Linked DNA regions of Canis lupus familiaris. The protein of the gene in region 1 purifies or fractionates together with the protein of each later gene. This does not show direct contact. Links are inferred from orthologs where the notes say so. Each region holds a gene or a part of one and is shown on either strand. Other genes may lie near its edges. The genes, in order: ETV6 and LRP6.

Region 1 (3,823 bases):
ACATCTACTGGTCCGTGGTCAGGCCTGGATCTTGGTTCCTCATTTGTTTTATTTTTAGTAGGGATACAGATTTATTTATTTTAATATATTTTTGAGGGGGGAGACCCTTTGCTCTACTTTCTTTCCTTTTACTGAGTCGTAAAAACACGTAACAGGACATCCATCCTCTTAAACTTTTAAGCACATACTAGAGTGGTGTTAATTACAAGTACAATGTTGTATAGCAGATCTCTAGAGCTTCCTCATCTTGCTTATGGGGAAAACCTTATGCCCATTGATTAGTATATCCCCCTTGCCCCTGCTCCCCAGCCGCTGGTAATACCATTCCACTTTTTGATTCAATGAATTTGCCCACTTTAGATCCTTCCTGTGAATGGAAGCAGGCAGTATTTGTCTGTGATTGGCTTATTTCACTTGGCTTAATGTCCTCAAGATTCCTCCATGCTGTAGCATGTGACAGATGGGATTTCTTTCCTCTTTATTTTTTATTTTTTTTTTCTTCTTTTTTTTTCTTTTTTTTTTTCTTTCCTCTTTAAGGCTGAGTAATATTCCGCTGTATGTTACACTGTTGTTTCTTTATCCAGTCATCCATAACGGACATTTAGGATGTTTTACGTACTTTTTACATCTGTGGGCTTTCACAGTTTTCCTAACTGTAAAAGATTATATCAGGGCACCTTGGTGGCTCATGGTTGAGCGTCTGCCTTCAGCTCAGGGCATGATCCCAGGGTCCTGGAATCGAGTCCCACATCAACTCCCCACAGGGAGTCTGCTTCTCCTCTGCCTATGTCTCTGCCTCTCTCTCTCTGTCTCTCATGAATAAATAAATAAAATCTTTAAAAAAAATAATAAAAAAATAAAAGATTATATCCTGTAAGTTCCATTTCCTCTTCCCAGCATAGAAAAGCATAGGGCAAACAGTTCTTGCCTGTTTGCTTTTCAAGGGGATGTTGCAGAGTTCGAGTGTAAGCATTTCCATGTAGAAAGGGGCTGCTGTGGACATGGGAGTTTCTAACTGAGCAGAACAGAGGTGATGCTTCCCCAGCTTCCTCATGAGTCCCAGAGCTCCCCAGAGCTTCCCTGTTACCCTAGATCCTGAGGACATGTGAGTGTCAGGGCCAGGCCAAGGGGATGGGATGGAGGGCTGCTCTGAATGCAGCTCTTTCAGACCAGACGTTGTGAAGTGAAGTGGCACCTGGCATAAGTAACAAATGGAAAGTGGCATCTTTAATCATTTCCTTCTCTTTGCAACTGTCTAATTGCTCACCCCATGAGGAATAAACCAAATAATGAGGGGCACATGTAGGAGGCAGAAGCCAGGCAATTATCCTCCAACCTAGAGAGAAGGGCTTTACTTCGGCCCTCATTGGCAGAGTAAACAGCTGGTGCCCTTTTACCTTATGGTTTCCCCACAGTCGAGCCAGTCCATTGGGATCCACTATCCGGAATATTTTGGATTCTTTGTCCTCCCATCGGATGAAGTTTTCGTACCGGCTGTCAGAAAGCAACTGATAGACGTAATCCCAAAGCAGTCTACAGTCTACAGAGGCAAAGGGCAAGAAAACACTTTAGAATTAGGTTTCTTGTTGAGGCACCAAGAATCAGAATGAGAAAATCATCAAATAATCACTTCAGCCTACTGTGGACTGATGGTCAACTTTCTTATCTCACAGTGAGGAGACCAGATCCCAGAGAGACCGCAGATGGTACTGCAGAAGGGCGACCTTTGACCAAGGTCATGACCAATGACTTGAACTTGAGTGGAGTTCCCATGAAAGAGAGCAAGCCAAAAGAGGGGGTAAAACCAGGCCAGGGTCAGAGAGTCAAAGGGCGGGAAGAGAGCCCTAGTGCTCCAGGCAAGCGGCGTGGGATACTTGGTGGCCCTGTAAGATCACTCTGGTGTTGGAGGCTTTACGCACAAAGATGAGAAGACTGGGGCAGGCTATCAAGCGGCAGAAAAACAAGTGTGATGGGTGCACAGCTGCGGGAAAGAGAACTACGTGGTTTGCAGATGACTGGGAGTTGTGGCTAGCGTGGTTTTCAAGAGGGCAGATATTTTCTCATTACGGCTAATTTTGGAGTTCTTTAAAATTGTTTTTTTTATAATGAAATGAGGGTAGAAAGGAACTCAAGGCAAAAAAAAAAAAATAATTTTCCCCATTTGAAGGACTAATGTTCTATCACCTGGTCAGGCCACAAGCGTTTATTAAGTGAGTTAATACAGGCCAGGCATTGTGCTAGGCCTCCTTGGCTTTTGGTGGTGGGTTGGCATATTAAAAGAGAAGACACAGGCTGCACACCTTTCCCTTGTTCTAGTGCTTTCTGGATGTGCCCTAACGGTATGTGGTTTGCCCTCCAGCTTCCCTTGATAGGTGGGCGGAGGCAGACATGTCCTATCCAGGTGTGCTTTCTGGACCAGCCTCCAGATGAGAATAAGAGGCACTGGTTTCCAGGGGTTCACCGTTGATCGTGGCAGCCCCCAGCCAGAACTCCTGGCAGTGAATGATCAATCCCTGAATTCTATATATGCGCTTAGCACTTTACTTGCATCCTTTCTACTCCTCGGAGGCCCAAGGTGGCTGGGCTTTGAATTCCAGGTCTCAGGCACACAGTGCGCTGACTGCCTTCTGTTGGGTGAGGCTCGGCCCACCTGGGAGGGGAGTGTCTAACCGAGGCCTGGAATATTTTAGAGTCAACACATTCACCTCCCAGGAAAAGAAACACACACCCTTCCAAGGAGTATATTTACAAGGGGGAATTGAGTCAGGTCACCTTTGGCAAGCTTCTTAAATCTCTCTGAGTTCTCTTTCCTCATATTTGAAATGGGAATAATGTGTCCTTGACGGGATTACTGTATTAGTGATAGTGCGAGTGAAGGGAAAGTCATGAAGGTCACAACAAAATCACAACAGCAACGCCATTAACTGGGTGCTAGGGGCAGGCGCTGAGCTTGTGTTCCACAAGCATCGCTACACTTGACCCTGGTGACCCCCTGAGAGGCAGGTGCTGTTGCTACTCCTATTTTATGGACGAGGAAGCTGGGGCTTACCGGGTTTGGTAATTTACTCCGGGGGCACAGCTCAAGAGTGACCCACGTAGGACTGCAGCCTCTGCCCGGCTCTGAAGCCCGTGCTCCGCCTCCCTTCCTGATGTGATTTCTATTCCCAGAGAGGCTGGTTAACAGGTAGGTATTTGTAAAGTTTTAGGACTTCCCAGGGCGAGGTTTCACTCTGTGTAGTGCAATCGTGGTGAAAGCCAGCCTTTGCTCTGAATGGCAGAAGAACTGGCATAAAATGTGGCACTTTCAAGAAACTAACATGAAAATGGCCATAAATCTTCCTACGGGTAGCCTCCGATCCACCCCCCAGCCCACTGTCTGTGTCTAAACATTAACGGAATGTGTGAGTTACTGTGTTTTAGAACAGGACGAACTGTGCTCTTCTTGCAGCCCAGACATCGCGTACTCTGGGAGTTGAACCCCATTCTGGTGACAGAAGCAGCCGGCCACTTCTATTATCCCCTGCCAGCCAGACGGAGAGAGCAGGGAACCCCCAACCCTAGCACCACAAAGCACCTGGAGAAGTCAGTGTTACACTATCGCACAACTGAGAAGAATCTAGCTCATTTTTTTTTTTAAGATTTTATTTACTTATTCATAGAGACACAGAGAGAGAATGAGAGGCAGTGACACAGGCAGAGGGAGAAGCAGGCTCCATGCAGAGAGCCCGACGTGGGACTCGATCCAGGGTCTCCAGGATCACGCCTCGGGGTGCAGGTGGCGCTAAACTGCTGCGCCACCAGGGCTGCCCCGAATCTAGCTCAG
Region 2 (3,823 bases), about 240 kb from region 1:
ACTACAGTCTTACTTTTCTCCATAAGGGTCTACAAGTTGAACTTTTCTTCTTCCTTCAATAAAAAGATGGAAATGAATATACTTATTTTACTAGTACAAAAAGTCACTTCAGGAATATCTAGGGAGTTATAAATTCTATTACAAGCCCAATAATAATAAAATTTCCACAAAATAAAGAGATGCGAATCCAAGTACCTGGCCCACTATTAACAATAATAAACAGGACACAATAAGAGACAGAGGAAGAATCTAGACATTCATATGATGTTCTATTAATAGTCCTAACCAATGGTAAAGAGCAGCCACAGATTTTTACACAGAAAGAACATACTATCTGCCTGAATAAAAAGAAGTACAGCTTACCAAGCATATTCGAAGATTCTATTAAGTTAGTGTCCAGGTCTGTCCAATAAAGCCTCCTTTTAGCATAATCAATAGTTAGGCCATTTGCCCGCCCCACATTTGGAACTAATGTAGTACGTTCACTTCCATCCATGGCAGCTCTGTCTATCTTAGGTTTTCCACCCCATTCAGTCCAATACATAAATCTAAATTCAAAACAACAGATATTTAGCATTTCACTTTTGATTATTTGGGAGAAAGGGTCATATTCATGCATAATAACTAAAGAAAATATACATTAAATCAAAGAAATTGATAAAACAGAATCATGGTTATAATTTTTTCAATTATTTTGGCACCCTCAACAAAATATTTTTTTTCTCATATCCTAAAAAGGAAGTGAGTCAGCTTTCTTTAGTCTTTCCAATGAATTTGTTCCATCCAAAACCCAGAAACTGGAAACAAACCAATGATTTCCTTACTGCAGCTCTTGCATTTATAAATCTAATATTCAAGATACCAAAAAATTAAAGCTCTAAGCTCAGAATCTGATTTCATTTCTGAATATTTTCTTTTTATATTTTTCCAAACACAAGTAATTTGAGTTTTCAAATTTTTAGACTTCTTTTTTGACTTGCATAATCACTCTCCCCAAAAACAAGTTGCAGGAGTACATCAAAGGTAAAACTTAATAGCCTTTAAATGAAGTTAAAAAGCAAAATTTGAAATGCATTTGGTCACACAGTGTAAGGATACATACTATATGTATAAAAGCAATGAATCACCCTTTATCAAGTCAGCTGGGCAGTGACACTACTACTATAATCCCTGTGAAATTTTAAAACGCTCTCTTGCTTTTGTTTTATTTTTTCAAGTTTTCCACATTATACTTAGAGCAGCCCCATAGTATAGGCTTTTTACAGATGTAAAGAGGCCAAAGCAATAAAAGAAATGTGAATGATCTCATTTCTTCAACTCAGTCACGTGGCAGAGTGAGAACTAGAAACTAATCCTTAGCTAAAGGCTTTTTCAATTAAACTAGTAACTAGTTCTGAGACATTCTGAATATGGGGACTAGGAAAGCACTTCACATGCCAACTCTCATCAAGTATCTGAGTACAGACATTTACTCATTAGCTTGTCAGCTGATGGCTGACTTGGTAACAATGCATGAACACACTTCTGAAAATTAAAATTAGTCCTGGGCTCACTCTGTATTCACATTTGTCAGGTGACAGGCATGTGCACACAAGAAGCAAGGAGAAACAACTGTGAGAGAAATGTCAGTTGCCATAAACTAGAGTCCTTAGTCTCAACTATTGAAGTTATCTATCTGGTAACTCATGCTTGGAATCAAGATCACCGTAATCCAATCACAACATGTCAGCACAAAGAACTTTCTTTGCTATGGCCTTCTAACTAGATGGTAACTAGCTGATAATGCAATTAATGTGATTTCAAAGAAACTTTTTAAACTACAGATATGGTAAATATGCTTATATGTTCTCATTGTTAACTTCTGCTTTTGAAAGTGGAATTATTCTTCAAATTTCAGATTTCTTAGCTGTTGGCTTTCTAAAACTTGCTAAATCATGTCAGAGGATCACTTATCCTTGAAACACAATGTCATGTTATAAATAAACAACTATTTATTTATTGAAAAGTTTACTATTTAATATCAAAGTTTCTCTAAGCTTCTAAACATGATCAAACTAATTGTCCATTTTGAATCAATGAATATTCTAAAATGGAGCTTTTTAAAATACAACTAATTCTTAGTATATGGAATTATTTCAGTGGGTTTTGGAATCTGGTTTAACCTGAGAGAGTATGCAAGCAAATGCAAACTTGATATCTTCAGAAAGGCTGTTTATTAGCATATAAGTATGCCGGGTAATTTAAAACACTAATCCATTTCACTAATCTTTCTCTACCTAATGTTAATAATGACAAAAGTAAAATTTAGCTAATAAGTAATTCTAAATCAGTGAAATCTCCACTAATGGGTTTTAAAGATTCTGTTTATTTTAGAGAGAGACAGTGAGTGCACAAGTGCAACCAGGGGGAGGGGGAGGGAGAAAAGAGAAAGAGAATCTCAAGCAGACTCCATGTTGAGCGCAGAGCCCAAAGTGGGGTTTGATCTCACAACCCTCAGATCATGACGTGAGCCAAAATCAAGAGTCAGACGCTTAACTGAATGAGCCACCCAGGTGCCCCTCAACTAATGGGTTTTAAAATAAAGCCTACTACCTATGGTTTAGTTATTAGAGTCCTAAATAAGCACTACTTAAGACATCAAAGATATAATGCATAACCAGGCCATGTATAGTTGCAAAAAATGCATGCATCAAAGTTGTTTACCCTTCAGCAGGGTCCAGTGCAAGAGCTCTGGGACTATCTAGGTCTTTCCACACCAAAACCTGTCGGTGCTGCCCGTCTAGCTTTGACACCTCAATTCGATTCGTTCCTGTGTCAGCCCAGTACAAGTTCTTTCCGAGCCAGTCTACTGCCATGCCTTCTGGGTAATCCAAGCCGAATTCTACCACATGTTCCAGTGCACTGCCATTCATAAAGGCTCTGCTGATGGTCTGCAAAAATAACAGTAACAACCGAATCACAAGGCTTAAGTACAAAACACCATCCAGAAAGAGTATTTGTTTTGGTTTTTGCTGGTTGGGAGGATTCAGAAGAGCCAGAGGTATAGTTTCTTAATTCACATATTTTACAAGCACAGAAAAAACCTGATGTCAATCTCTAATAAATTCAACTGTGACCTCAAGTTTTACTATCAAAGCCAGGGAGAAATTTTTGTAATTCTTAAGGATCAAAAATTTATTCCAGTAAGACAGTAGAATGATTTTGCCTTCAAAATCTATTAGTAATCTATTAGTAATCAAGTGAAAAAAAAGATATGACCAGAATGTTGTAGACTCATAACTGGTAGTCAGCTTCCTGAAGGTTCTTGAGAGTATGCCATGTCATCATGTCAATCTGAAAATATCCCAACAACTTTATCCATTATAAAATGTATATAACCATTATCACATTATTACCACTGTAACTCTGAATCCTCCCAAAATTTAAAGTAATAATAGCTGCTACTTCTTAGCAAGCATTGCCTTAAGTACTTTGTATACATTTATTTTCTCATTTAATCCTCAAAATAGCCCTGCAAGATAAGTATTATCTCCATTTTCAAGATGAGGAAATTTAGAAGGCCATACAATACAAGCCAAAATATATTTATTTACTTCATTTATTCACTCAATTAATAGATTTTACTGATCATTAGAATTCAACTCTAGCTCCAATACCCATGGTATTTGCAAATTAGACAAATTTTACACAAGTTATCTCAAATAAGCCCAAAACAATCTAGAAGTACAAAAGATTATTCTCCAGATTTTCTGGTCAGGAGTTCTTTCTTCCTATTGATTCAGTATGCTTTTTGATATTTATTTTAGGAAAAAGCTATACTCTA

Evidence for each region.
Region 2: the proteins of ETV6 (region 1) and LRP6 purify together in Homo sapiens (affinity purification with mass spectrometry; 3 studies listed by BioGRID and IntAct, counting the BioPlex papers as one, with this or other methods). This does not show direct contact. The link is inferred for Canis lupus familiaris from reciprocal best matches to the Homo sapiens genes ETV6 and LRP6.

Annotation. Positions count from the first base shown.
Region 1 is NC_049248.1:11,816,833-11,820,655, reverse strand, and holds part of ETV6 (transcription factor ETV6), read right to left. Parts: intron 1,541-3,823; coding exon 1,398-1,540; intron 1-1,397. UniProt on the Homo sapiens protein: Transcriptional repressor; binds to the DNA sequence 5'-CCGGAAGT-3'. Plays a role in hematopoiesis and malignant transformation.
Region 2 is NC_049248.1:12,055,374-12,059,196, forward strand, and holds part of LRP6 (low-density lipoprotein receptor-related protein 6), read right to left. Parts: intron 2,931-3,823; coding exon 2,704-2,930; intron 549-2,703; coding exon 364-548; intron 1-363. UniProt on the Homo sapiens protein: Component of the Wnt-Fzd-LRP5-LRP6 complex that triggers beta-catenin signaling through inducing aggregation of receptor-ligand complexes into ribosome-sized signalosomes.